Linked DNA regions of Oryctolagus cuniculus. The protein of the gene in region 1 purifies or fractionates together with the protein of each later gene. This does not show direct contact. Links are inferred from orthologs where the notes say so. Each region holds a gene or a part of one and is shown in the gene's direction. Other genes may lie near its edges. The genes, in order: POLR1F and POLR1D.

Region 1 (15,081 bases):
CTTAAAGAAGTATCACCTACCTTTACAGTAAAAAACAAAACCCCTATATTGTGTTCTATTGCAATACAGTAAGATGTGTTTCAACTTGATGATGCTCAAGCATAACTCCTTTGGAAGACTGAAAACTTCGATGCCTAAGAATCGTGCAGTTACACATGTGGATTGATGTGGATATTTTGGATAGCAGCTGAGATCATGCATTTAATAGCTCCAGTCACCAATGGTGATTTGAAATAGTTTATTTATTCTTGGTAAAGGGCCACACAAAACAGTGTTTCCCAGCCTTTAGTGTCGTGTTGATAGATACAGGCAACAGATGATACCACAAAGTGAGTGTGTGTGTAAGTTTTTTTTCTGTGACTCCTTGCTGTTTCACTAAAACAAAATCTATTAGGAACATTCTTTTTCTCTTTTTCTGTATGAGCCATGCTAGCCAGGTAACTGAGTACAACAACAACAAAAAGTGTTCTCTGTGGTCACGGGCATTGCAGTCATGTGTGGAGACCAAACATGTATGCAGATAATTCAGTAAAATTAGATGAATATGATAAAGTTGGACATAAGGTTCCATAGGAGTGGCGGAGTGATTTAGCTTTGCCAAGGAATTGGGGAAGTTTTTTTTTACAGTAATTGTGGATGTGGTAGTGAAAACTTAAGGTTTTTCTACTTAGTAGTTACAATTCATTAAGAACTGAGAAGTTTTTTTTTTTTTTTAATTATTTATTTGAAAGAGTTACAGAGAGAGGGAGAAGAAGAGACATAGAGAGAAGTGTTCCATCCACTGGTTCACACCCCAAATAGCTGCAATGGCCAGGGCTGGGCCAAATGGAAACCAAGAGCCAGGAGCTTCTTTCTGGGTTTCCCACATGGGTACAGGGGCTCAAGCACTTGATCCGTCTTCTGCTGCTTTTCCAGGCCATTAGCAGGGAGCTGAATTGGAAGTGGAGCAACTGAGGCTCGAAACAGTGCCCTTATAGTATGCCAGTGTTGTAGGCAGTGGCTTTACCCGCTGGCTCCTGGAAAGTGACATTTTAAAATAATAGTTACCCCCTAATCCTGTCTATCAAACTTCTAGATCAATCTAACGTGTCAGAGTCGGTTCTCAATAAATGATTTCGTTCTGTTTCTTAACATTTTCATTTACCAGCAAAAGTTGCACTTTGGGATTTTTCTCTATTAAATCATTGGCTTTAATGCTCAGGAGCTTCAGCTTTAACCCTGATGCTTCCCTTGGTGTATGCCATGAAGAACAGAAATTCAGTAATGGTGGATAATAGCAAAATTGCTGGTGATTCACTCATACAAAAATACACTGACATTTTCCTTGCCAAGTCTCATTATTCTCTTTCTAGCATGACTAGAATTCAAATAGGTAGCAGGTAAGGAAGAAGGATCAATTTATTGCTCATGCATAATTGGGCATTTTGTTTCTGAGTGCTTGATTTCAAATAGTCACTTTAAGCCTAAATAATATTTTTAACTTCTGCTTTGGAACCCATAGGGAAATGGGACTACTAAAGTTGTTACAGACTGTGGACTATTGTTCTGGATATGGGAGGAAATTGTTAGAACTGTGTGCTTTTTGGACTCTTAGAATATCTAATTAGTGTGATAATGGCTTGATTTGAAAGAAGATAAAATATATTCTTCTCTTTTTTAACCAGCCTTTTAGGGGTCCCCATAGCATATGATAACATCAAAGTTGTGGGTGAACTGGGAGATATTTATGATGATCAAGGACACATTCATCTTAACATTGAAGCCGATTTTGTTATTTTCTGTCCTGAACCAGGGCAAAAGCTTAAGGTATGTATGTCATTCTTTTCTAGCTTTCTTTGTGTGATTATATCTTTATGTACTTTGGCAGTTATACCTTGAGACTCAAATAAATTGCTATTGTGGGTGAATAAAAATTGTTAAAGGAAAAAGAAAAGTTACTTTCTAGAATTCCATGTAGGTAAGTTCTAAAGCACATGCATGCACAGAATATTTGTCCCATCCAGTTTATTTTTTGCATAGTACCACAATGATTTTAGGAGGAAAAATTAATTAGTATTATTGCTATTTTAAAATTACTCTATTTTGCACAAATATTTTTTATTCATAAGGATTCAGACAGTATTATAGTGGATCTAAAACAGTTCAGGTGATTGTAAGGCTAGGCGGGTAAAGACAGTTCCAGTGGTTTGGCGGGGAAGGGCCTGCAGGCAAGTGAAAATGAATGAAAGACAGAAAAAGGCAGCTAGGCTCTGCTGTAGGAATGAAGACAGTGGGTGGAAGATCTTCCAGTTTCTCAGAAGCTGGAGATGGAGAAGTGATGTGAAATCTACTGAAATGTATCCCTTTATCCTCTTTCTCTCTCTCCTGCCGCAAGTTGTATGTGTGAGCATGCGTTTGTAAATGTGCAGTACATATGGGTTCTTATGTGCATGTATGTTCATATTTTATGTTCTCTAAAAATTATAGAAATTGCTTGATGTTATAGGTAAAAAGTTAACATATTTGGTACAGTTAATAATAATATAGATCCAATTTCACTATGACAAAAACCATAAAGCAATTGTAATTAAAAAAAAAAAACTTATCAATCTTATTTAAAATAGAAATAGGATCCCTTGCCTGCTGAACAGGATCTCACAGCTGGACTACAAGTAGATTTGTACTTGAAAATTTCCAAACTTAAGGCTGACCTTGTGGTACAGCCAGTTAAGTAGCCATCTGTGATGCCAGTATCCCATGTTGAAGCTCCAATCTGAGTCCTAGCTGTTCTGCTTCCAATCTGGCTTCCTACTGATGCAGCTGGGAAAGCAGCAGAAAATAGTACAAGTGCTTGGGCCCCAACATCCATGTGGAAGACCTGCATGGAGTGCTGGGCTCCTAGCTTCAGCTTGGCTCATATCGTAATTGTGGACATTTGGGGAGTGAACCAGTCTGTGGGAAATAGCTCACTCTGGCTCTTCTCCTCCCTCTGTCACTCTGCCTTTCAAATAAAATAAATAAAGAAAATTTTTTAAAAAGTTCCCAAATGTAACTTCCATCAGCTTTGTATATATTGTCACAAACATAAACATGTATATGGGTGTTATACCAAATTGTACCAAAAGTATTAAATGAAACATGTCCTTTTTTATTTTCAATCCTACAGCAAGATCCAGTCTTCAAATACTTTTGACTAATCATGTTTTTTAATTTTTATTGATTTTTAATGAGATATTGTGCAGTTCAGTGGGTTTTGTCAAGTTCATTTCCCATTCTGTTTCCTTAGACCTTCAGGCCCTTTTCTGGTCACTTCCTTCTCATTGTCCCTAATACAACTACAGTTCTGACTTCATTGATCATAAATTTGTTTTATTTTTCTGTAATTTGATATTGATGGATTTAATCATTGTATGTTTGAAATCTGGCTTCTTTAGGTCAACATGCTTTTGTTTTGCCTATGATATTTTCTGTGTTAGTAATTTGCCTATTTTTATTGTTCATGGTATTCAATTTTATGAATATATGACAAATTGACTATCTCTGTTGATGTACATTTGGGTTATGTCCAATCTGGGGCTATTATGAATGAAGCAATAATGAATATACATTTTTATTTCTCTTCAGTAAACTGGTAGTGGAAGTGCTGTGTAGCAGGGTAAGTTTATCTTTACCTTTATGAAAGATTATTGTCAGACTAATTTCCCATTCAGCACTTCCGTTTACTGTATTGATTGCCAACATTTGGTGTTGTCAATCTTTTATTTTTATTTGTGGGCATATAGTAATATCCCGTTGCTTTTCCTTATGAGCAGTTTTCCATGTTTGAACAGGAATGCCTTTTCAAGACTTTGCCCATTTTCCACTGAATTTTTGTATTTTCGTTACTGAGTTTTAATATTCTTTATATTGTCATTTTCATTTATTTTTTTTTTTTTTAATATTTATTTATTTGGAAGTCCAAGCCACAGAGTGCTGGTTCACTCCCCGGGTGGCTGCTACAGCCAGTGCTGGGTCAGGCTAAAGCCAGGAGTCAGGAGCTTCATCTGGGTCTTCCACAAGGGTGGCAGGGGCCCAAACACTTGGGCTGTTTTCAGCTGCTTTTCCCAGGCCATTAGCTGGGAACTGGATCGGAAGTGGAGCAGCTGGGACTTCAACCGGCACCCATATTGGGTGCTGGCATTGTAGGCAACAGCTTTACCTGCTATTGACCCCTCCTTTTATAGTCTTGATATAAATCCTTTTCAGATAAAAGTATTGTGAATATTGTCTCCCTGTCAGTGACTTATTTGTTAACTTTTAATGGTATCATTTGATGGAGGAGCTTTTAATTTTAATGAGGTCCACCTTATCATTTTACATTTTTTTGGTTATTGCTTTCTGGATCTTATTAAAGAAACTTGTCTACCCCTGAGTAGTGAAGATACTCTTCTGTGAACTCCTAGAAGCTTTATGGTTTTCGTTTTTCAATTTGCGTATGTGATCAGTCTTAAATAATTTCTTGTGTCTAGGTGAGGTAAGACCATTTTCTTGTCCATAAACTTTCCAGTTGTTCCAAACTTAGGAATTCAAAAGATTTTCCTCTCATTGGTTTTTGTAAGGGATAGAGTATTTGTAAAGCAGTTTTAGGTTTACAGAAAGGTTAAGTAGCTTGTACAGGATCCCAGTATACACACACACACACACACACACACATCATCTTAGCATCATCTTCTCTTGGTTTGTGTGATCTATTTGTTACAGTTTTTTGTTACAGTTTTTGAGGCAATATTGGCTTTTTATTTTTTTCCTATTGTTAGAAAAGAGGTTTTTTTTTAAACAGTATTTTATTTCTTATTTTTGAGATAGCATATTTTTTATTTACATTTCAGTCTGAGGTTTAATGGCCCACAGTTTCCATTAGAGTTCTGTCTGTGCTGTGCCTTCTGTGGATTTTGACAAATATAAAATGACTTGTATCTACCATTACAGAATAGTTGCACTGCCCTAGACCTTGGTGCTCCACCTGTTCACCCCTTCCTTTCCCGCAGTCTCTGGCCACCACTGATCTATTGCCTATCACCATGGTTTTACCTTTTCCAGAATGTCCAGTTGTTGGGAACATACAGTATGTAGCCTTTTTGGTTCTCTCACTTGGTAGTCTTCGGTTTCCTCCAGTCTTTCTGTGGTTTCGCAGTGCTTTTCCTTTTGTTGCTGAGTAGTACTCCGTTCTGTGGGTACACCTTAATTTATCTAGACTATTCAAAAACCACAGTGGGGAGACTACACCCTGATCATAACAAATAGGGGAGTTTTATTCTGTCACATTTTTTAAGGGTTGCTGATGTTATACAGATTTGCATACATGGCAGTATTACATATGGTTCTATAATCTAGAAAATGTGAATTTTTTAATGTTTCAGGATTGTCATTCATACACATTGTATACATTGATTCCTAGGGATGGGAGGATAGAAAACTTAAGTTTTATGGAAAGTTTCACTTTAAGTTTAAAATCCTATAGCACATGACTTCTATTTTAGTTTTAAAGCCTCCAATATTTTTGTTATTTAGCCAAAATTGTTATGGTCTAGATTTTCATATACATGGTAAGCTATCTCCTAATAGGACTGCTGATATCATTCTGAATTGAATCATTAAAGAGTACACTTGTAATCTCTGAATTTCAGACTGTTTATAGACAAGTACTATGGATTCCAGTTATAAAAAGCGTATGCTTTCCCTGCCTAGAGTGTAAGCCCTATCAGAGCATGTTTTCAGTGTGGTTGTCACATAATCTGCTCCCCAGGGAATCCTGCAAGGGGAGAGAGGTGTCTTTTGTTGGTAGAGGGAAGGAAGGCTGTGGAAGGGACTATCTGTGTTTTATCCAGTTAGACACTTGGCTTCCTGTTATTTGTTTATTAAAGTTTGAACTGTCGGAAAACTCTAGAGTTCTAAGGTGATGTTATAGTTTGACATGCGGTAAGTTTTTGTTTTTTTTTTTTTTTTTTAACTTTTATTTAATGAATATAAATTTCCAAAGTACGATTTATGGGTTACGACATGTGGTAAGTTTTAATTGAGATAAACTTTGTGCTGAATGTATACCTTTAATTTGATGTTTTCTTTTTGAAGATCTGTTTGGAACTTAGAAAGCTTGATTCACCTTTTAATCTTGTGAATCTCTGTTGTGCTCTTTCCTCCCCCTTCTCCCCAGGGTACAGTTAATAAAGTGTCCACTAGTCACATCGGCTGTTTAGTGCACGGGTGTTTTAATGCGTCCATCCCTAAACCTGAGCAGATGTCCTCTGAGCAGTGGCAAACCCTGGAGATAGACGTGGGTGATGAACTGGAGTTTGAAGTATTTCGTTTAGATTCCGATGCTGCTGGAGTATTCTGCATTCGGGGAAAACTGAGTGTCACTAGGTTAGTCCGTCACATTATTATCACGGGATACTTAATCTTTTCTACTTAGTTCAGAATTCATAACCTCGCTTTTAAACATATATAAGAATAGTGATGCTTTTAAATCATAATGTCAGTATTAAACGGTAATCATAAGCCGTATGACAATGCATCAAAGTTCTGTGTCTTGCTCGCTAGTCTGTATTTGAGTAAAAGTATATCATTCATATCTTCTAGTTTGTTTTTTTAAAGAAGTTGAGCTCTGAACTTGAAACTACTATTTGCACAATCATGTTGTATAACATGTAGATTACTTTTATTTTTACATCATTGGAACTAGATAATTTGTTTTTATTATTGTCGTCTGTGTGCCAGGTAGATATTTTGATTTCTGTATTTCCTTATATTGAATTTCTTATATGAATTACTCTGATCTTCAGCTTGGTTCCATGGGAACATGGTTAATAATGGAGGAGAAAGTGGACACTATCTGAAAAATAGTGTAGATGTTAACAGTTTTTCCTAGATTTTACCTTAGTGAGTAACCAGAGTATGAGCTGAAGTTCTGAAACAGCTGTCCAATAGGGATTTCTGAATGTTAGTAATGTGCTATACACACCATAAAGAAGCTTCACAATTAAGTGCATGGAATGTCACCAGTGTAACTGAGGAACAAAATGTTTTAAGCCACATCATTAGAAGCACTTAAATTTAAATAGTTGTCTGTGGAGAGTGTTACTGCATAGAACTATGCAGCTCTGGGCATAAAGCTACTTCATAAATCCTTGTTTTATTTTAGTGATATAAAATAATTAACTTTGAAGTAATACTGCCTCCAGGTAAGCTAACTAGAATGACAGACTGTTATTTTAAATTTGAAATAAAGACTGAAATAGTGGACCAGAAACTCTGATATATACTGGAAATGTATTTTTTTTAATCAAATGTCAGTGGTTTGGCAAATAGTGTTAATGTTCAGTGACCAGATTTTTCTGAGCCAAAGTGAAATTTCTTAGATGTGTTTTGACAAAAGATTTTTGTCATTTTTGTATGTAAGAACAGTCAGGAGAAATATTTCAGAAACAAAAAATTTGTTACTGTTAAATTTAACATTGTTGAATTCACATTCAATACCAACTGCCATTTCAGTGAACTGGATAATTTGAAAATGATGCTGTAGCATATGCCTTGTTTACTCCTCTTTATTTAGAAAATCTTAGCATTTGGGGGTATTCTTGATCTCATTCATTCTTTCAGTTTTGCTGTTTGCTCAATTAATGTTTCTAAACTGTGAAATTACAGTTTACAACCCAAGTGCTCTGAAGTTTCTGAAGAAGTCACAGAAACTGGCACTGAAGAAGCCATTGAAAAACCTGCTAAAAAGAAAAAGAAAAAGAAGAAAGATCCAGAGACATGTGAAGTGGACAGTGGTAACCCAGAGCCAGTGGAGTTTGCAGACGTCACCCCTAATGAAGAGCCAGACCTGCAGGCTGCTGAGAGCGCGAATGGCCTCTGGGAGGAGGAGCCACGGAGGAAGAAGAGCAAGAAGAGGAAGCATCAGGAAGATGTGGGCCAGGACCCTGTTTTCCAAGGCAGTGACTCTAGTGGTTACCAGAGTGACCACAAAAAGAAAAAGAAGAAGAGAAAACACAGAGAGGAGACTGAACTTACCCCAATTTTGGAATGTTCACCTAAAAAGAAGAGGGAAAAGTAACTTTCTTTAGTGAATTTTAAATATACTCAGTTTTTAAAAGATTGATTTATACAAAAGAGCTGAGTGAATGTTTCCAATGACATGAAATGGTTATGTGTACCAGTAGCTTACAAAACAGGAAGTATTTGCCTTGGAATTGGAGTGGTTTTGGGCTGAAATTACAAAATTGGCTATAAATTTCTTTGAGGAATCCCAATATTATTGAAGGCCATTTTATTATATGGAGAACAACAGAAAAGTGCTGCTATCTCTGCTGACTTTAACATTCTTCCAGGCTTTACATTCTACATAAAATTGTTTTAAGAATCTCAAGACTGACAGAGAACTGTAGTATACACTGTTGTTCACATCAATAAACAACAACCTGAGTTTGGAGTTTTTTAATTTTTCTTTTGGGGGGGGGGGGTATAAGTATTACCTTGAGTCATTGCACATCATTTTATTTTGCCTTTTTTTTTTTTTTTTTTTTTAATTCAGGACATCTGTGAGCTTTAGGTATTCCTTTGTCATGGTTTCCACAGTATTTCTGCTGTTTGACTCAGAGAGGTTTACCACAGGGCTTCTGAAGTCTCCAGAGTGTTACCCACACCACTGCTGACTGTCCACAGCTCTTTCCTTCCAGCCGCGGTTGTGTTGTTTTCCTTTTCCCAGCCTGAGGTTGATGAAAAGGGCAGTGTGCTTCTGCTTGTCTTTTGTGCCTTAGCTGTTTGGACCTTGTTGTGTGTTGGAGGAGAAATTGACAGAGACAGGATCAGTGTGGTTGTGACTTATGGGAAATATCTTTTCATTATTGGGACAGGCCACTGGAAACTGTTCAGGAGCGAAAACAGCCATTCACTGTGATAACGTGGGATAGATCTTAACTAATTGCAGAACACAGAGCAGTGAAATGACAAGCTGATGGAGGCTAATAATACACAGCCATGTTCATTCATTTAGCAGATATTTGATCATCTACTAAGTGCAGAATGTTGTATTACGGCCCAGAGATATAAGGCAAATGAGGTAGATGTGGTACCTTCCATTGCAGGAGCAACATCTGTGAAAATGTGGAACATATGGAATGTTAGTAATTGTTATTAAGTGCCTTGAAGAAAAAAAAAAAACTGTATACTTGTTACTTTGTTAGTATTTGCCAGAAGTGGATGAATTCCCTGTGTCAACCATTTTTGATACCATTTATCTAGGATCAGACAGAGTCTCACAGTTTAATGTCTGATGATGAATAAATTCTGCTGGTGGTATGTCCTTATCTAAACCTGCAGAATATAGAATCTGGAGAGTGGTGGACAGTATACATCATTGTCTTCAGATGTACATAGGAACTGTGCAGGCCAACGTCTTTCAGTACAATTGAGAGTCATATGACTGGTGAGCCCTTGAAGTGTGGCTAGTTTGAATTGAAGCATGATGTCAGTATAAAATATATGCCAGATTTTGAGAATATACAAAAAAGAATGTTAACTTTCTCAGTTTTTATACTGCTGAAATTGTAATGGTTTTGGTATAGTGGCTTAAATAAAATAATAAAGTTTCAGCCTTTATTTTTCATTTTCTTTTTCTATAAAAAGATTAAAAATTGCACAGAAGGCGTTTTGGTATGTTCAGTGCTTTTAAAGGAAGTATGAGTTGTGAAATGTTATGTTATCAAGGTTTAATACAGTGACACACCTGAATATGCTTAATAACTGCTTCTTCTGAATTGTAAAATTTAAATTTATAATTGTAACCATGTTCAACAATGTAGAAAATTTATTTTTAGTGAAACAAATTTAACTCCCCCTATTGTGTACACACCACACAAAGATATCTAATTTATGCTATTCACAGAAAAATAAATTGTGGCTTAGCAACATAACCATACTCTCATGTTACTTTTACTTTTGCTTCAAGTGGTACTAATGCTAATAATCTGTAATTTTAAAATAATTTGCAACTTTGAAGAAAAAAGGAAGCAACATGCTGAACTTGAAACTAGATTTGTCTATGATTTTTCACAGCGTGGGTAACCGAAAAGTCAGATCTATCCATTTGTCCTGCCTGGAATTGTAGGGACCTCTTTTCTGATAAGAAACCAGTGAAAGAGTCCTCCATAATATTCTTCAGAAGCGCTTTGTCGGTAAGGTACACAGCTAAGTGTAAATGTTAAATACAGAAAGTGGGAATCTCACATGGGAACAGGCAGAGAGCCACTTTGGCCAGTTGAAGTAGAGGGTAGTGTTCAGGCTGGTGATTGGATGAGTAGTGTTTTGACCAAGGGAGCTGAGGAAGGGTTGTGGCCTTCTGGCTGAGAGCCCTGCAGAGGCCTGAGGGGCATCTGATGCCGAAGACTGCAGATACTAACTTCCACGTAAAGGTTTTCTATACTGCACAGGGCTAAAACAAAATATCTTGCTTCAATTGGTTGTTTTCTACTCTAACAGTCTGCATAATTGTCTCAAGCTGGTTCTCCTGTTTTTGAAGAGTGTCTCTTGATCATGTTTGCCTTGACCAAATAAGCTCCCTAAGGTCTGTGACAACACTTAAACCATCTATACTATTTAGCAGTGAGTCCTTTATATGTTGCAAGCATGAACAGATAATGTTTAAGTGGATAATTAAACGCACAGTATCAAATGGTATCATTTTCCCTCTGATGTGATATTTATAACATTTTCACCCATTGTTTCAGTAAATGAATTCATTGCTCGGCCTGAATGTGATGTGGTTTTCAAGTCCCTTTATTGTTATTGATAGCTTAGGTGGAAAACTTCCAAGTGGAAGAAATTTGGTCTAGTCCTAGAAGTGAAATTATAGTTATTTAAGGGAATAAACAGTTTTACCTTTTGATATATTGTCAGATTGTCATCCAGAAAACTGTACCAGCTTGAGATCCTATTAGCAGTTACTACTTGGCAACCTTGCAGTCATGGACGATGCTAATTGTTTTACTGTTCAACAGTCTATTAGGTGGAAATAGTGTGTAATTTATCTGGTATTAATGAATTTAGCCACTTTTGTGTATACACTTATTTTCCTGTGAATATCTTCTCATGTTCTGTGATCATTCTTGTGGGATGTTTCTGTTGCTCATTTTTAAGAGCTCTGTATATTCTTAGGATAATAATGTTTTTCTAATTTTCATGTTCAATTTTTGTAGTCCTTTATATTTTTAAGTTTCCGACTTGCTATTCAGAAATGTTTGGTTTCATGTCATCAGTAATCTTTCTTATTCCAGTGTTCTTAAAAAGGCATTTCTCAACCCGAGATTATAAGAAACTCATATTTTCTTATATTTATCATTTTACTTTCTTACATTTGAATTTTTAGCCCATATGAAATTGGAATATGTTTTGCTACAAAAATTCATGTTTTTCCTACACTGATGCTCCACATGTCTCCAGTTTGTTAATTCATATTTTCTCTCTTGATTTGAAGAATTATCTTAGCCTATACCACACTCTACACCCTATTAATTGTCCTGATTCTCTTCTGATGTACAGCTGTGTTCTGAAAGGCTGCACTGTTAACTACCCTATGGTAGGCAGAACTCTTAGAGGCCCCTGAGATTTCCCACAGTCACCCTCAGGACCAAAATAGATTTCACCCCCATGCTTGGTTGTGTTAAGATAGGGTGGTGATTAGACCTAACCTAATCGCATAAGCCCCTGGAAGTCAGTTCTTTTGCAGCTGGCAGCAGAAGTGGACGTGAGATTTGAAGCATGAGGAGAACTGGGTAGGAGAGAGAGTGAGGTGGGGCACGTGGCCCTAAAGCCAAAGCTGGCAGAAAAGCCAGGACTTCCATGCCATGCCCATGAGAAGCAGAATTCTGCCGATGATGAGAAAGAGCCAGATTCTCCAGAGAACTCAGCTGGCTGACACTGATTACGTTCTTGTAAAATCCTGAGCAGAGAACCCTTTTCTTGTCAGACTCTGACCTATAGAAAACTGAACTATTGGGTGTTGTTTTTTTTTTTTTTTTTTTTTAAAGATTTATTTTATTTATTTGAAGGGCAGAGTTACAAAGAGGGAGAGACAGAGAGAGAGATCTTCCATCCTCTGGTTCACTCCCCAGATGGCCGCAACAGCTGGAGCTGCGCCAATCCGAAGCTAGGAGCCAGGAGCATCTTCCGGGTCTCCCACATGGGTGCAAGGGCCCAAGGACTTGGACCATCTTCCACTGCTTTCCCAGGCCATAGCAGAGAGCTGGATTGGAAGAGGAGCAGCCAGGACTAGAACCAGCACCCATATGGGATGCTGGCACTCCAGGCCAGGGCTTTAACCAGTTGCACCACAGCGCCGTCCCTTGGGTGTTCTTTTAAGCTACTAAATGTGTGGCAATTTGTCAAATAGCCATAGAAAACTAATAGACAGCTTTATGTTACATTTTGATTTCTGGCTTTCAAAATTATATTGGCTCCTCTCTTCTAGTTTTCCAGATGTACTTAAAAGTGGAACCTGAGGGGTTTACTTTGTGGCACAGCAAGTTAAGCTGCCACTTGCAATGCTAGTTTAGCATATTGGAGTGCCAGTTAAAAAGTTCTGGCTGCTCGACATTTCCAGTCCAGCTACCTGCTGATGTGTCTGGGAAAACAGTGAATGATGGTCCGAGTAGTTGTGCCCCTGCCACCCAAGTGGGAGATGAGGATGGAGTTCCTAGCCTCTGGTTTAGGCATGGCCTACCCTTGGCTGTTGTGCCCATTAGGGAGTGGGGGTAGGGGACAAGGGGATGAACAAGCAGATAGAGGATTCTCTGTAGCATCACTCTGTTGCTCTGCCTTGCAAACAAATACATCTTTTGAAAGAATTCTTCTTGTAAAATTAGGAAAAAAAGCTTTTAGGGAATTTGGAACTACACCAAATTGAGAAGTTGAGGAACAATTGAATTCTGTAAAATACTTAATTTTTCTTAGCAATAAACATGGCAAATCTGTTTATTCAAGTCTGTTCCTTCCTTCAGTGGTACTAAATTTTTGTCTTTTAAGGTATTTCATATGTCTTAAACTTATTTTCAGGAATTTTGTATTTTGTAGCATGTATTGCTTTTGCTAATGATTTTTTTATTAATTAATTAATTTTTTTGCCATTACATTTCCTGTCTGGTTCTCACTGGCATGAAAGAAAGTGATTGATTTCCTATATTAACCTGACTGGCCAGACATTCTAAAATATGCTTATTTTATTAGTCTTCTTAAATCTCCACTGATTTTATTTACCAGGTTTCCCACTTTTGTGGGAAAAAAATCCTATATTTGTGTGTGTTTTTTCTTTTCTTCCCCACCTTCCAATCCTCTTGGCTTATTAGGTTAAATTCTTAGTTCCCATTAATTAAAAGCTTTATCATTTACTAACAGAAGCATTTGAACCAAAAATATTCCTCTCTGTCTTGTATCTATCCCCTTGGCCCTTTTTTGTTGTTGTTTTCAACATTTATTTATTTGAAGGCAGAGTTAGAATTTTCCATCCGCTAGTCACTCCCCAAATGACTACAACAGTCCTGGCTAAAGCCAGGAGCTTCTTCTCCCACATAGTTGCAGTGGCTGAAGCACTTGGGCTATCTTCCACTGCTTTACCAGGCCATTTGCAGGGAGCTGGATCAGAAATGGAGCAGCTGGGACTCGAACTGGCACCCATATGGGATGTGGGCCTTGTGGCTTAACGTGCTATGCCACAGCGCTGCCTAAGGCTTGATATGTAGTGTTCTCATTGTTTCTAATGTCTAGATAATCTGAAATTTCACCTTTGAATTCTTTGACTCAAAGATTACTTAGAAGAATATTAAAATTTCCAAGAGGTTTCATTGTTTTATTTTTACTTATTTATTTTCATTTTCATTTTCATTTTATTTGAAAGTCCAGGAGTCAGAGATTCCATCTGCAGATTCAGTCTCCAAACGCCCTCAATAGCCTGAGCTGGGTCAGTCCAAAGCCAGGAGCTTGAAGCTACATCCATGTCTCCCATGCAGTTGGCGTGGAATCAAATACTTGAGCCATCACCTACTGCCTCCCATAACCTGCATTTAGAAGGAAGCTGGACAAGAAGCAGAATAGCCAGGACACAAACCAGGCACTCTGATATACGATGTGGGCATCCTAAACTGTGATGTAAGCCCTGGTAACCTAACCTGCTACCTCAAACTCCTGAACAGCTGCCCCGCAGCCCCCACATTGTTCTGTTAGTTGCTCTTTTGAAGTTGTTAATTTCTAGCTGTATTGTACATTGCAGTATTCATAGGTGAACTCTGGTTTCTACTTTTAGAAGTTGAAATTTCCTTTGGAACCAGCACTTATTATTTTGTAAAAGAAAAAAAAGATTCTTTAGGCACTAGAGAATGTCTTTGTTTTTCTAAATATACAAAGCACTGTTTTAAAATAGGTTTTATATACTGTACAGTAAGAATAAAATTGAAAAGTCATGGATGACTCTGCAAGTGATGTGACCTTCTTTTGGTCGTATCTCCTGGGTAATTCACGGAAAGTTCATGAAATGTTCAGCTCAGTATATATTGACTCTTACTAAAAAAAGATGTTCGGGTGTCTGGTCTAAACAATTTTCTCTCCCAGATCTGCCTTGGCAGCAGTAAATAGCTTTGTGGCATTGTTTTGTCTTCTGTTTCTTTCAAATAAATATTTAGTACATTGGAACATCTTAAGTCTCAGTTGCATTTTCTCAAACATTAGAATGCTAAACCTGTTCCCACTTATTCTCATTTATTTGATAACTTGTCCTGAATGTCTTTGAAAGTATTCTGAAAGACAAAAATTTAGTGAGCTATAAAATTAGAGTGGTTGAGAATAGAAGCAGCATCAGCAAACAATTCTGCAACCAAAATTTCAATGGAAATAAGCTGTAGTCTGTATAGTTGTAGGTAATTAGTTCCATATTTGTCGGATATAATTAGAAATGCTCTGGTACTTATTGACTCGAAAAGGAAAAGCCAGGACAGATGAAATACCTTGCCAAATTCTTGTCTTAGTTAACAGCTGGACTTAAAATTTTAAATGAGAATGTATTAGTAAATAAAATGA
Region 2 (16,284 bases), on another chromosome or scaffold:
AGTCTTCAAAATCAGGCCACATTTCAAAAGCTTAGTAGCCACATGTGGCAAGTGACTAAAATATTGGACAGTACAGTACTATACTATTTCTTCAAAGAACTTATTATGGTTTGTAACTATGTAAGGTCTCTATTATTATTATTTAGAGGATATTATTTATTATATCCTCTAAATTATAAACTCTATGAGGTTACCAGAGAATTCTTAGCTCACTGTCAGAGCACTTGGTTGGTGTCAAATAAACATTTACAAAATTGAGGCAGGTACCTGGCACAGCAGTCAAGCCAACTCTGAGAAGCCTGAACCCCAGGTCAAAGTACTCAGGTTTGAGTCCCAGTTAGGTTCTCCATTCCAGCTCCCCATTAATGCACCCCCTAAGAGACAGCAGATGATGGCTCCAGTGCTTGAGTCCCAAACTGAGTTCCTGGGTTCAGCATGGCCCAGCCTAGGCAACTGCAGACATCTGGGGGGTGAGCCAGGGAATGGGAGATCTCTCTCTTTCAATTAAATAAATTTTTAAAAATATTTACAAAATCGACTGAGGGGAACAGGCAGAGGTGTTTAAGACAATTCCCTAGATTGAGGGCTAGCCAACTAATGTTGTTACCAAAGCAATCCAAGGACAGACAATAGCAGGGTTAATCTGATCAGGGGGCATTACCTGGCAGATACAACACAAAGCCAAATTCAAAGAAGGCATAGAGGGTTGGCGCCATGCTTCACTTGGTTAATCCTCTGCCTGCGGCGCCAGCATCCCATATGGGCGCCAGGTTCTAGTCCTAGTTGCTCCTCTTCTAGTCCTAGTTGCTCCTCTTCTAGTCCAGCTCTCTGCTGTGGCCGAGGAAGGTAGTAGAGGATGGCCCAAGTGCTTGGGCCCCCACACCCTCATGGGAGACCGGGAGGAGGCACCTGGCTCCTGGCACTGGCCATGGCGGCCATTTGGGGGGGTGAATCAACGGAAGGAAGACCTTTCTGTCTCTCTCTCTCTCTCACTGTCTAACTCTAAAAAGGAAAAAAAAAAAAAAAAAAAAAAAAAAAAAGAAGGCATAAGTGCCAGTGAAAGCAGATTCCAGGTACCCAAACCAGGTAGGGAGAGGGAGGACTGCAAGGCCAACAGAAGTCACTGCAACAGAGAGGAGCAGTGGGGTGGAATAAAGGGATTGGCAAAGCAGGACTCTGAGGAAGGGCTCTGTAAGACAGTGTGGGCAATACACAGCTTCCTCGTGCAGGAGACAGTGGTATGTAAGTTTAAGGACTCTAATGTGGAAAATCTGGGGAACTGACAAGGTACCAAATAAATGTTAATGACACGGTAGAAATGAAGGTCACCGAAGTTGAGGAACCAGGGAATTCGAAGACAGAGGTTTTAGTCACTTTGCTTTGAATGATTTACCTGTGACTGAATGTCAAGATTTTAAGTTCTCCAAGGACACACACACAATCTTGCATGCCACACAGTCCAGTGTTGATCACAAGATGTATGTTAGGGACTTGTTATATATAATTAAGTTGAAAGCCAAAGTTCAAACAGTAAAATCACATAGGAGAAAAAGTGGCAATGGTCACATTATTGAAATAAGATTTAAGTGAAAGGCTCCAATTTATTTGTTCAATAGTTATTTGTGTGGTTTAGCTGATAAGCGTTCTGATAAAGAATTAAATTTTAAATTTAATTTAAGATTGGCAGCTAATAATCCCAATCTGGAGGAAGGGTGTGTGAATAGTTTCAAGACTTGCCTTACTTTTATGTGGAAAACAAAGTAACAATTAGCGTTTTCAGGTCCTTAGTAGAGCTAAGTACATCCTATTTTACATAAGACAGGGGTCTTCAAAACTTATTATAAACACTTTTTTACAATGGCCCCAGTTACACACTTTAGGGAGTTTTGTTACTTAATCAAACTACAAGATTACTCTTTCAATACAGAAAAAAAACTAAAATTTCACTGGTTTTACTGTTGAAGGCAATATGCTTTTTAAATACTTTCTAGCATGTTGCTTGTCTATTATTTTCTATACTTGCTTCTATTTGTCTTCTCCTACTCAGCCTAATATTGAGGAAAAAAAATAACTTTTTCTTCACATAATTAGTTCACTGAGGGATACTGACTGCTAGCAGTAATAGTCCTAAGTCTCCAGGCTGTGAAGGAAGCTAAAAGGTTAAGCCACTGCACACAACACTGCCATAGCTATCTTTCCTCTATCGGAAAAGACTCCCAAAGACCTGGCGTTTTGCTGACGACCCAGAGAGGTCAAACTTCCAAGGCAGCTGTTGTCAGTCTACCTCGGAATAAAGCTGTATGGCTATATAAGGCTGTTCCTCCTTACCGCACTCCACAAGTATGGCAATAAAAAGGAGGTTATGCAAGTAATTACTGCATCTGGTGCTAAAACAGTTGAATCATGACAGCCATCAATTCTGTTACAGTTCCTGCGTCTTCCAGTAAGTACATGAAGCACTTGAAGCTTCCTTGTTCAATCAATTCTCTCTTTTCCTCTTATCAAAGATTGGAGAAGTCTGTGAGTCAATACAGATCAAAGCTAATAAATCCAATTCATTCATTTTTATGTAAATTAATATCTTCTGTTCCATATGCTTTGAGATTCTGCAGTAAGCAGAACAGATGGGATCCCTGCTCTAGGAAGCATACTTTCTAAAGAGCAGAACCTACAATGCCTGCTTCCTTAAGAGCACCCTAAATAACCACAGGACAATTTATTATTGTAATATACCATCACGAGCATTTGCTTTTTAAAAATAAAATCCTCAGAGATCAGAGTTGGGGTGCAACAGGTTAAGCCACCACCTGTAATAATGGCATCCCATATGAGTCCTGGTTAGAGTCCCAGAAGCTCCACTTATAATCCAGCACCTTACTAATGTGCCTGAGAAAGCAGAACATGGCCCAAGTATTTGTGCCCCCACCACCCATGTGGGAGACTCAGATGTAGTTTCAAGCTCTTGTCTTCAGCCAGGCCCAGCCCTGGCATTGGGGCCATTTTGGACGTGAACCAGCAGATGGAAGATTAATCTCTCTTTCACTCTCTCTCTCTGAAACTGTGCCTTTCAAATAAAAGTTTAAGAACTTTTTTTAAAATCCTCTAATAATGTCCCATTAGACTAATATAAAAATAGCCATTTTTTTCTGAATTCAATCAAGCAAAGAAACTTACGTAGCCATAGATTTTTCTCTCGCTTAGTACTTTGAGGGAAAGAAACAAGACAAGACAGCTAAAGGGGATTTGTTTGGTAAAACTTCCAGGCCTTGTCACAGGATCACCCTAGGCCTGTTTTCTACAGGCAAGATATACGCATTATGTTTTTCAACCAACACTGCTTCATAAGTGGTGTGGAGTCTATGAAATGAGATCTTCTCTATCAAAACCCAACAAGGTCTTTGAGAAACCTTGTTGGGTTTTGATAGGGAAGGTGGGCTTGGAAGGAACTGTGGTGCAATAAGCAAGAGGAAAGGCTAAACGGCTCTGCATAATAAATTTAAATGTATTTTGATTTTTGGAGGGCAATCAGAGAAAAAAAATGGAGCAGGGAACAGTGCCAACTAGATTATATGAGCCTGGAGTTTTCCTTTGTTGGTGGCCAAATTCCATTTTAAGCATAGAGACACTTGCTTTTAAATGTTAACACTCATGGTACCACTACACTGTAAATCTCATTTGCTTCGTTTTCCCCCAAATCTTCCATAAAGTTCAAAGGCTTTGTGTGAACTCTTTTTTCCATTCTTTTCCAGCTCTTCCTGGACATATGTAATCCAACAACTGCTCTTCAAGCATCCAACTCGGTATGTTGTGGGTGTATCCAAAACTGACTGTGTTATCCTGCCTTCCCCACCTCTACCATAAGCTGTTTTTGTTTTTTGGTTTTTTTTTTTTTTTTTTTTTGACAGGCAGAGGACAGTGAGAGAGACAGAGAGAAAGGTCTTCTTTTTCCGTTGGTTCACCTCCCAATGGCCGCTGCGGCCGGCGTACTGCAGTCGGCGTACTGCAGTCGGCGTGCTGCGGTAGGCGCACCGCGCTGATCCGATGGCAGGAGCCAGGTGCTTCTCCTGGTCTCCCATGCGGGTGTAGGGCTCAAGCACTTGGGCCATCCTCCACTGCACTCCCGGGCCACAGCAGAGGGCTGGCCTGGAAGAGGGGCAACCGGGACAGAATCTGGTGCCCCGACCGGGACTAGAACCCGGGGTGCCAGCGCCGCAGGCGGAGAATTAGCCTAGTGAGCCGCGGCGCTGGCCTATAAGCTGTTTTTACTGCTCCTTCTTATATCCCCTTGCCCTCTACTCTCTCACTAATGTCATCATCACTAAAGGAACAACTAATATTTATTAAGCACTTGACTGTTCCAAGGGAATTTACATGTGTAATTTCAGTTGATCCGCAAACACTAATAAACAGGTACTAGGATCATCTCCGAAATGTTAGGAAATCCAAACTCGGGACAGGAATCCTAAGGGAAGGTGACAGAATTAGAATTCAACCCCTGTTCTGACTCCAAAGCCAGCTTAACCTGTATACTGTACATGCCAATGCCTCAAGTCAGAAAACCCAGGCATTATCCTTGTCTCATTAGTCTTGCCCACTTACCTAGTCCAGCCTCCTAGCCATACCTCCTAAATGCCATATCACCTGTCCTGCCATTGCCTTCATACAGAAAGACAATTAGTATATACTAAGTCCTCAATGCATGCCACACACTATTCTAATATACAGAATTTTGGGGTTTCTTTTACATTTTAGTCCCTCGAGCCCTATGAGATGAAGAACCTACTGAACAAAGAGGTTGTGCAGTAAATGACACAGCCAAGTTCAAACCCAAATATCTAAATAAAAAGCCCCTGAGGACTTAACCCCTACATTCTAACAACCTCTGACTTTGTCTCCCTACCTCCCACCTGGATGCCCATCCTCCCCCAGGCCACTGCAGATATCTTTCTGGAACGCAAATGTTATGATATTTCCTTGCTTAAAAATTAGCAGCTCTATATCACTGACTGGATGAGGTCCAAATTTTCTAATTCGTTATGCAAAATCCTCCATTTTTCTGCTGAAGTCAGTTCAGTAAGCATTTGAGTGCCTGCTGTAAGCAAGGCAAAATGCTAAGTCTGAAATGAGTAACATACCACCCCTGACTACTACTTCAACTACAGACACTGTGTCCCTTGGTGAAGCTGACCAAACACAGATTTCATAAAGCAACTCTCTAACACATGCAGCCACTTGCAAGGGGCATGTATGTCAGTCCCTTGGCCTAGGCTGTACCTGGTAAAATCCCACACCAACCTGAAGAGTGCCCATGTGAGGCCTCCTCTAACAAACCCCAGGCAAATGCTCCATCTTCTAAGTTCCCATAGCACTTTGTTCAAGTTACTTTCTGATAAGCAGTGGACCAGAGGTGAGGACCAGCTTCCAAATGAGAGTTCGAGCAACTTCTGAGCAAGAACTGACCCTGCCATCAACGCCTGGCATGCAGTAGGCATTTTATCAGTGGTTTGAATGAATAATGAAAAATTCCAAAATTTCATGAAGAGAGGAACAAGATACAGAATTAAGAATGTTGACACACAAGTGGGCCAAATAAAGAGCAGAGTTATTCTACTTTGGCTCTGACTTGGCCTAGATTTTATCCCTATGGGAAAACTCACATATGAGAGTTGGACAAGCTAAAAAGGCCAAACTTTGTTATTCCTGGCTCAACAAAGCTCTGACAGGCCCAACAGGATACTAGATCCCTCCTCCCCCTTCCTCCTTTACCTGCCAAAGTCCTCTTTCCAAAGGGCTGTGGGGGTGGGAAACAAATCTTTCAAAGTGCATTAAAATTGATCCACTGGTATCCAACTGCATCAGTGCTGTGTCACAGTGTGTGCAACAGAAAAATCAAAATCTTTCCTGGGAAGAAGGCCAGTTTGCAAGTAAGTACTATTGCCTCAAGAATGCGAAATTCCTAGTGAGGCCAGTTCCAATAAACTGGAGCTCACAACTGTTCCTCCTGCCCTAAGACCACTTTTCTTTCAACTTCGTTTCTGATTCTTGTGATTTAAAAAAAAAAAAAAAAAAAAGGAAAATCTATACAGGGAAGCCCATGCATGAATGTACTTTAACTCTAGGCAAATCCAAAAGTCAGGATCCATAACTGAAATACTATTAGAAACCCTACATCTAAGTTGGAAGTAGTTGTCTAAGACGTGGCATAAAGAGAGGGATGTGTTTCCTGAATGCCTCATGTTGCTTTGTGTGCAATGCTTCCAAATCAAGATCCGTATTTTGAAATTACCCCCAGGAGTTCGTCTCCAGCCTGAGGATTCCTGGGCAACAGGCTGGGGCCGATGTCCCTCCACTGCTTTCCAGGGGCACGAAATCCGACGGGGAAGCAGCTGGAGCCACACTCATTCCCAACACACACGCGAAATTAAAAAAAAAAAAAAAATCACCACCACCTCTGGTCTCCCCTAAAGAGCAAACGACGCAAAGATCCGCACCGCGGTGGCCAGAACCACCCAATGCCAAACCCCGGGCCGCCCGCCTTCCACTCGCCAGCCGGGCGCCGGGCGCCAGGAGCCAGGCGCCGGGCAGCCGTCCCCTCCTCCCCGGACCAGCCTGGCCAGCCCCGCACTCGGCTCCGCGCTGGCCCCGCAGCCCAGGCGAGCAAACGGAGCCGAGGAGGACGGCGGCTCGAGCGCGGGCTGCGGCGCTGCCCCACACCCCGCACCTGAGGCGGCTGCCGGCAGCCGGCGAAGAGAGCGCACGGCGGGGAGGGCAAGGCAAAGTTACTCACTGGGAAAGCGCGGCTGCCCGGGGCGCGCAGGGGCTCCCGGCGCCGCAGCCAGGCGCCAGCTCCCGCTCTCCGCGGCCCGCCGAGGGAGCCGGGAGTCGGCCAGGCTCCGCTCCTCCGGGAATCGCCGCCGCCGCAGTCGCGGGTTTCCCGGCAAGAAGCAAACTCTGGCCAAGACTTCACTTCTCAACCGCCCCTGCTGCCTTCCCGGGGGCGAGCGCCGGGCTGAGCGGCCCAACCCGACACGCTGCTGGGCCAATCGGCGGCGCCACAGGGCGGGGAGGGGGCGGATCAGAGGCGGATCCACCTATCAGAGAACGCAGGGGGCGGACCAGGAGGGGCCGTCATTCCTAGGTTAGAGTGAACCTACTCCGTCCCTCGCCCCTCGCCCTCCCCCACCCGCCTGGGGCTGTCCCCGCCGCTCGCCTGATTCCTCTGTGGAAGGCGCTCGGCAAGTGTGTGAGCGAGCGCCGGGCAGCCGCGGGGACAGCGGGACAGCTGAGCAGGGGACGCACGGAGCGGGGTGGGGGGAGGTCGAGGGGAACAGGTGGCGCGGGAGAGCAGGCGTGTAGGTGTGCTGGGCGAGAGGACAGCCGGGGTAGAGGGCAGCGACCGGGGCTGGCCGGCGTTAGAGAGGTTGCGGGAGCCGGGGGTGAGCAGCGGGGAGCAGCACTGAACACTCCCAGAGAGGAAGGGGCCGGAGAGGGAACCCCGCCGAGGAAAGGCTGCCGAAGCGGGGTAGGGGACGCCTGGGAACAAAGATGAGAGGGAGGTTCCCCGGGGGTGGGGTGCAGAAGGGGTAAAGAAAAGGGTGGAAGGGAGGTGCATGGCCGGGGGAAGGAAAGGACGGGGTGGGTGAGTGTGCTCCCAAACTCCCACTTCTCCCCTAAGGAAAACGGTAAACGCTTGTCCTGTGTCCCGGGGGAGATGCTTAGCTGCAAGAACCCCACTGAGTACTGTCTTGAAGCACCACGTTCTGTTAACGAGACTCAGCCCCTCCTATTTAAGGACGGTATAGCCCAAGCCTGCGGTCCCACAAGAGGTTGGATTCCCGGGAGGCCACAGGGTTCCAGTCGAGTCTAGCAGGCCGGACTTGGGTCCCAAGAAGGGAGGTGATGTGGGGGCGGCAGGTAAGGCCCTGCCCCCTTCGCCACCAGTTGGGGAGACGGTACCAAAGGTGGAGCTCGGGCGCACGCACTGTGACCGGGGCCTCCGGGTGCGACGCCAGCGGGCCCTCCGCCGCCCTCCTCCCGGCTCGCCCCGCACGCCGCCAGGCTGGGGGCGCGCCAGGTGAGCGGCTCGGGCCCGGCGCCACCGCCCTCCTCGCGCCGGGGGCGGGGCCGGGGGCGGAGCCTCCACGTCCCGCCCAGCGCCCGGACCCTGCCGCGCCGCTGCGGCTCCTCCTCCCTCCTTCCGTCGCCGCCTTCTTCCGTCCGTCGTTCCTTCCTTCCTGCCTCAGCCGCTCAGCTCGCGGCATGGGGCAGAGCCTCCGATCGGCCAGCACCACCTGAGGATCCTGGAACCGGCACCCGCGATGGAGGACGACCAAGAGCTGGAGAGGTAACGGCCGAGAAGGCGGGCGGGGCGGGCGGAGTAGGCCGCGCCCAGGCAGGGGAGCGGGCGGTACCGGGCACGCGGCCCGGCCCGGGCCTAACCTCCGCGGCCCTGCAGAGCAGCAGGGGCCCGACCCGGGACGCTGAGAGAGGGAACAGGGCCCGACGGGGAGGAGAAGGGAGGAGTCGTGGATGTGTTTGAATAGAGGCGCTCCGAGGGACAGTAGTTCTCGAGGAGGGCGGACCAGTTGGCAGAGCAGAGTTGGGTCCCGAAACTGCCCAACCCCGTTAGAACAGCGGCGTATTCAGTCCGGCTTAAGCCCCCCCGTCACTACCGCTCTCCCTCCTCCTCCGTGCAGACTGTTAGCCGTGTAGCCCTGCCTCAAAGCGCTGAGTTCTGTTTCTCCCTCCCGCTGTACTGTTTCAGCTCTTACCGTTTCCTAGCTTCCTTACCTCTTGCAAGTGGAAGCCATAGTTGGGCCTGCACATTGATAATCTGTAGTCTCTGTTTATATGCTGGAGCAATCTTGTGTTTTTCTACACCTTCAACTCCCTTTTCCTCTTCCAGCAGGGCTCACCCTATGCTATATCCCTTTCTTGTGACTCTTCCAAAAGAAATGTCTTTGCAGACACTTAAGTGTATGTTTTTCTAAGAAGATGCTCCGTGTGGCCCACGTGGATAGTTAATGGAGCAGGGAGAAACTGGAGTCAGCAAATTAAATATTCATTGGTAGAAGTGGTGGAGGCAGAAAAGAGAGAGGCTGACAGTTCTGTGTGTAATTGCTGTGGATTAGAGTAATGATGTGTGGCAATTGTGATATAGTAAATGAAAAAAAAAGCTAGTTACAATATTCAGTATGATCTCACTTTTATAAAAAATATGTGTGTAGAAAAATGTCTGGATTGAAGACCTCAATGGCCGAAGGCGAGAGGAAGACAGCCCTGGAAATGGTCCAGGCAGCTGGAACAGATAGACACTGTGTGACATTTGTTTTGCACGAGGAGGACCATACCCTAGGAAATTCTCTGCGTTACATGATTATGAAGAACCCGGAAGTGGAATTTTGTGGTTACACTACGACCCATCCTTCAGAGAGCAAAATTAATTTGCGCATTCAGACTCGAGGTGCTCTTCCAGCTGTTGAGCCATTTCAGAGAGGGCTGAATGAGCTCATGAATGTCTGCCAACATGTGCTTGACAAGTTTGAGGCCAGCATAAAGCACTATAAGGATCAAAAAGCAAGCAGAAGTGAATCCACATTCTAGTCCCTTGTGCAGGATACAAGGAGGACTAATCTCTGGGATACTCTTCTTCATGATTGTGCAGAACCCAGAATTAGAAGTTTGTGATTACAACAACCTGCTCTATCTTTCCAAAAAAAAAAAAAAAAAATGGTTCTAGCTGTTGACCCATTCATCACAGCTGTTGGAATCCCCGCAAGAACCTGTGTATTCTCCTAATAAATTCCCTCTTTTATTGAAACTATTTTTGAGTGGTTTCTGTTCCTTGCAACATCCTCAAGGATGACTTTATTTGCTTGCAGTAGAGCCAACATTTAAAGTGATAAAACAGAGCATCAGGCACCCAAAATAGTGGTTTCATCATGGGAATCAAAAGGAGTATACATTCCTGACTAGGATTGGGGTGGTGAGGCAAAGAGGAGATGGAATAGACCATTACGCAGATAGACTGGTGGGTTTCAAAAAGAAAGAAGGTCAGGATGTGGACTTGGCTTCTTAGATATTTTACTGATGAGAAAGTTGTATCCTTTTCTCTTAGGGGATTGGGTAAGGTTAGGGAATAATTTGAAAGAATTTTGAGAATTCTGGTTTCACATGAGGGTCTCAGGAGTTATCCAGCTCCATCTTTGTACCATCTATAGAATAATTGTTTACTGCCTGAGGAGAAACCTGGAATGAGCAAATTACATTTTTAGTCTAAGTAGGTATCCAACTGTAGCCTAGGGTCATATAGAAGAAACACTATTTGAGAGAAAGGACACAGAGGGAAAATACCATGTGGAGAAAATGACTTGGAAAACTTGAAATATTAGTGAAATCACATCCAAGAGCCATTGTATCTGTCTACATCTTCAACATCTTTCATACCAGTCATACCAGAACTTCCTTCTTCAATTATCCTAAATACCTGTCAACCCTAGAGCCTGAGCACTCCCATATCCCAATGCACTGTGCTTTGGGGCCTTAGTTGATCCTATTTATTCGTGTGATCCTGGGACCTAGCACAACACTGGACAGCAGGTGGACACTTAGTAAATATGAGATGAATCCCTGTAGGTAGTTATGGCATGTTAGCTTTTCAGTAACTCTTAGTTGAGCTGCCCTAGAGCCTCTTTAAAGATATTTATTTATAGAGCTTCTGGTTTGTACCTTGGGGATAGGTATAATAGTGAGACACAATAAGTGTTGCATAAGAGAAACAATATTTTTAAAAAGTTGTAATTCTGGGGAAGAAAATACAATATCAAGATAGAAAGCATGAGAGAGAATTTTGCTTTAGGTATGGAAGTCAGGGAAGCTCTTCCCAAGATTACAGGAAGAGAAGGCTCTCATGATGGAAATTAACATTGTGAGGGAATAGCATGTACAGAGGCCCTGAAGCAGAAAACTAGTGGTCTGGGAAACTGAAGGTATTGAAGGAAGATTTGATTGTAGGCAAGTAGGCAAGGATGAGGCCTATTCTCTGGACTGATGGGAGAAAGCTGGTGTGATGGGAATGACCTCTTGATTATAGTGAGGGGAAATGAATTATAGAGTGGTCAGATTAATGCAAAGACAGAACTGTAAGAGTTGAAGCAGCCTGGTACAATTAGAAGCCTATGATGGGGGAAAGAGTAGAATTTGGAACTGAATTGGTTGTACCAATTCAGGGATTGGATATGGAAGATGAGAAAATAGAAAGATGACTTACTGAGGTTAGGGCCCTAATTACTGAAATGAGAATGCTCAAAGAGGCAAAAAGGATGGGAGGTGGGAAAAATGATAGGTGATCAAATTTCTTCTTTGAACTCCAGAGGTTGTATTTATGTGAATTGAAGGTCAAGGAAGAGATCTAAGCTGGAGATAAGCTAATAAGATGATAATCCATAAAAAGTGAGTGACAGAGAGGTGGGCCCAGGACCAAGCACTTGAACAACCTCAGTATTAAAGTTTGGATAAAAGAGGGGCAACTGGTGAGGTGGTAGGAAAATGCAGAAAGTAAGAGTTGTGGAAGAGTTTCCAAGAGGGGAGAGTGATGTTGGATGAATCAGTTGAGCACAAAAAAATAGTTGGAGTTAAGGTGGAGGTCGCTGGAGGATGGACAGGGTTAGGGTTAATTTAGTGCCAGAGGGGAGTAAACACTCCTTCTCCAGAGGAATTGCTTAGTTTGAGGCTTCGCAGACAAGGAAAATTTACAGAGGATAGTGGAGAGGTAGATTTGGGTAATAGCAGGGATTAGGAAAGATCAAAAACATGGAGCAAGGAGGTAGAATATTTTCCTAGGGCAATGTAGATTCTGGAAAACCAATGTCAGTATACGGGCATTAGCACTTAAAAGATGCAAGGACACCCAAAAGTGCGAAGTAGAAAAGGAACAAAAATTTCTTTGCCACTCCCAAAATTTTGCCCATGGTTGGACCTGTAGAAATAGTAAACAGGATTCTTTGCCTGCAGTTTTAATTTCTTTGAACCAAAGCCTGTCAGGAGATGGAAACAAAATCCAATTAGTAAACACAGAATGATCATAGTAGACTGAACTAATAATAAAGAGTATACATGGAAAAGTGCACCCACAAGTGACTACCCACCACATTTTGATCATGCCTAAAAGGGTTTATTGTCATTGATCATGTGGCATGTGGTCTTGAACCTGGGGTAGCCTTGAACACAGGTTCATATAAAACACCTTCAGATGGCAGATGGGCCAAGGGAAGAAACAGGGCAGGATAGCCAAGTGTCCCACATATGTGAAAGGAATCACTGTGTGAAGTCTAGGAATCGAGGGAAATCTCACTTTGTCTACACAAGGATGAGGAAAAAGGATGTGTTATATTTGTATATTCTGTGAGAAAATACCTTGATCATGTCTCTGATTTGCTCTCTTACTAGCATTTCACAAAAATCATTCAAGGTCAGAAATTCTGTTCAGCTGTGAATTATGCTTTTTAAAGAGCCAATTATTCAACAATATGATTACATACCAAAGGCTTTTAATACCTAATTCTGAGTACTTACCTAGCACTTTCCATTTTCAAAGCACTTTAAAAACTAATTATTTATAAATTGCATGTAGCTATAACACCTAAGTGTTCTAAATTAATAGACATAACACACAGGTTCCTATAAAATCTCTGTGGAGGTGAAAAGGTGTCTACATAAAAAATGACCCAGTCAGTACTAATCCAAAGTGTGTCTTGCATTTCAAGAAATACGAAAGCATATTAAGTTCTGTTTCCCACTCTTTCTGTTTCCCTTAATTATTTGTTAATATTACAGTCTGCAGATCACTGGACAAAAGTCATCTTTTAGGTTAGCATAATTTAGAGTTGGAGGCAATCTTTGTGCCACCTTCAAAATGAGCTCCCAGAAGTTTACCCAAATCTACCTGTCTGCTTTGAAGTATTTGTAAAGGCCTGCAGTTCCAGACCTTTTCCACTCAAATTCTCAATGCTGATTTTCATTTTGCTACTTTTAAAATTCATAATCTGCTGCTATAGTTACTGTGTGGTTATGTATTTTTTTCATAATGCAATTCAAGAGTTGTACATATGAAAAAGAAAACAAATTGTATTTACAGTGAAGTGACCTAATGTACTGTACAGGGGATTATGACTGGATGTACAATGGAATAGATGAGAGATGATTGAAGAATTGATTGTAATGAGCTCCCACTCTGCCAGTCACTGTCTTGGCACTGAGGATAGCAAACCAGACAGGCACAGTCTGCCTGTTAGTAACTCACAGAGTTAGAAAGTTGGCATAAAATTGTGTTGCAGAGTAAATGATTTCCTCTTTCCCAGAATAAAGGAGCTATTAATGGTGCTTGAACTAGGAAGTGTCATAAGTTTGGGTTTTTTGACCCATGCTTATGCAGAAAGGATGATTGGAAGGAAACACAGGAGGACAGCAGGGAGTTAGGTTGCATTTGGAATAATCCAGGGGTAATGAAAGGAAGGTATAATTGTAGCGATGGAGATAAAGGATGAACATAAAACTCTGCTGAAAAATAAGTAACTTAAGAATCAGATTCTGTATAGAATTAAAGGTGAGAGAACGGTTGAAAATGACCCCAGAATTCTTGGGAGCCCCATATCCATGTTCACTTACCCCTTTATTTCTCTGCCATTCCCTCAGACCAAAAAGCACACCAGTATTTACCATCTCCTCTCCCCTACAGTCTGTTCCTACTTAGGAGAGTCAGTGGAAATGGGAGCTGTAGTCAGGAATAGAACTCAAATACTCTCAATAGGATATGGGCATCTTAACCCTAGGCCAAATGTCCACCCCTGTTCTATAATATTGACCAAGTACTATATGCAGATGCAGTTTAGGGACTAGGAATACAAGGAACAGGTTGGCTCACATGTGGTTTATTTTCTAATATCAAAGACAGAAAATAAAGAAACATGGATACATATATAATCCAATTTTAGTTAAAAGAGGAAGTGAAAGAATGATAGCAGTGAGAAATTGAACAATTAGTGACAATTAAGTCATTTATTTGAAAGGCTGAGTTACAGAGAGGCAGAGAGAGAGGGAGGTCTTCTATCTACTGGTTCACTCCCCAGATGGCCACAACGGCCATCAAACCAGGAGCCAAGAGCTTCTTGTCCACCATGCAGCTGCAGGGGCCCAAGGACTTGGGCCATCTTCCACTGCTTTCCCAGGCCATAGCAGAGAGCTGGATCAGAAGTGGAGCAGCTGGGACTTGAACCGGCGCCCATATGGGATGCCAGCACCACAGCACTGTCCCCAAGGCTGTATCATTTGAGCAGAGAAAAGGAGACCAAAAACGAGAGTGACGCCCAGAATTTTAAAAAGAAACCTTAATATTATGAAACTTTTGAAAGAAATAAGCAGTTTAAATTTGTGTCTCTGTATGTGTGTATGTTTTTTGTTTGTTTTTTGTGTGTGTGTGGTTTTTTTTGTTTGTTTGTTTTTTTTGACTGGCAGAGTTAGAGACAGAAAGTTCTTCCTTTTCCATTGGTTCACTCCCCAAATGGCCACCACGGCCTGTGCTGTATTTCCTCCTGGTCTCCCATGTGAGTGCAGGGCTCAAGCACTTGGGCCATCCTCCACTGCCTTCCTGGGTCACAGCAGAGAGCTGGACTGGAAGAGGAGCAACTGGGACAGAATCTGGCGCCCCTATGGCGACTAGAACCTGGGGTACCTGAGCCGCAGGCGGAGGATTTGCCTAGTGAGCCGCGGCGCCGGCCATGTGTATGGTTTTTATTAGCGCCTAAATGTGTGTTGCTTTTAATCTATGTGTGTATTTTTTAAAAATTTGAGGGGCTGGCTCCCTGGCATAGTAGGTTAATCCTCTGCCTGCGGCACCAGCATCCCATTTGGGCACTGGTTCTAGTCCTGGCTGCCCCTCTTTTAATCCAGCTCTTTTGCTATGGCCTGGGAAAGCAGTGGAAGATGGTCCAAGTGCTTGGGTCCCTGCACCTGCATGGGAGACTGGGAAGAAGCACCTGGCCACTGCTTCGGATTGGCACAGTTCTGGCCATTGTGGCCGTTTGGGGAGTGAACCAACAGAAGGAAGACGTTTTTCTCTGTCTCTCCCTCTCACTGTCTGTAACTCTACCTCTCAAATAAATAAATAAAAATCTTTATAAATTTTTTAAAGATCTTTAAAATCTTTTAAAAATTATTTGAAAGGCAGAAAGAGAAAGAGACAAATACAAAAAAAAAAAGATCTTGTATCTACTGGTTCACTCCTGAAGTAGCCACAACAGCTGGTGCTGGGTCAGGCCCAAGCCAAGAGTCTAGAGATCCATCTGCGTCTCCTATACATGGGTGATGGGCCCAAGTACTTGAACTATCATATGCTGCTTTCCCAGGCACATTAGAAGCTGAGTAGATGGGATTCAAACCAGCATTCCAACATAGGATGCTGGTGTTACATGTGGTAACTTAACCTGCTGTACCACAATGCCAGCCCTCGGAGAGGGATGTTTTAACTATTAATTTAGATAACATATTCAAAGTGCTTTAGGATAGTGCCTGACATGTGTAGCATATTCTCTATCAATGTGAACAATTAATGTTACGAATTCTGTTAAGCAAGCTGATTTGGTCGTATTTCTTGGTGTAAATTTTGAAACAAAAAACCTTAATGGCCTTCTGGGGTTTTTTAGCCAAAGACAGCACTTTTCTACAAATCTGAGGTTACCAGTCTGTTACAGATTTTGAGTAGATATTTTAAAATAGCATTCCTATTTATAGAATAGAGATAAAAGTGAAAGATAAATGGATTGTGTTTCTCTTCTTTTCAAAAATAAACTGATTCTGATGGAACATTCCTAATCCTTCCCAAGCTTCAAGATAAAGATTAAGAAGAAGGAAAAGCAAATCTAGCAGATGGATACCTGTTTTGGTGCCAGGTATCTAGAATATTGGTCAGAGGCCAGGGCTCATTCTGGGTTGGTGAGCCTAAAACTGCTTAATATAGACTTTATTGATATTTTCCTCAGTAAATTCTCTGTATGTTAGCATATGTCAAAAAAGAAAACCTATGTGGGTGCATTTCTAAGTTTTTGCTTCCTGACTTAGGTAAAACCTCAAAAAAAAGAAAAAATATAGAAAATACCTCAACCAATTCTATTAAAAGGACTCTAAGAGAAAGTCAAATTGCCTGGAGCATCTAATCAGGCAGAGTCTGAACCACCTGGCTTAAATAGCAGTTTGGGGTTGGGTTTTTGTTTTTATTTCAAGGGTAGGAAA

Evidence for each region.
Region 2: the proteins of POLR1F (region 1) and POLR1D purify together in Homo sapiens (affinity purification with mass spectrometry; 3 studies listed by BioGRID and IntAct, counting the BioPlex papers as one, with this or other methods). This does not show direct contact. The link is inferred for Oryctolagus cuniculus from reciprocal best matches to the Homo sapiens genes POLR1F and POLR1D.

The regions. Positions count from the first base shown.
Region 1 is NC_091447.1:11,736,348-11,751,428, reverse strand, and holds the end of POLR1F (DNA-directed RNA polymerase I subunit RPA43), read left to right. Parts: intron 1-1,664; coding exon 1,665-1,806; intron 1,807-6,172; coding exon 6,173-6,381; intron 6,382-7,662; coding exon 7,663-8,074; 3' UTR 8,075-9,932; downstream 9,933-15,081. UniProt on the Homo sapiens protein: Component of RNA polymerase I (Pol I), a DNA-dependent RNA polymerase which synthesizes ribosomal RNA precursors using the four ribonucleoside triphosphates as substrates.
Region 2 is NC_091440.1:86,890,178-86,906,461, reverse strand, and holds the start of POLR1D (protein POLR1D), read left to right. Parts: upstream 1-8,165; 5' UTR 8,166-8,318; coding exon 8,319-8,344; intron 8,345-16,284.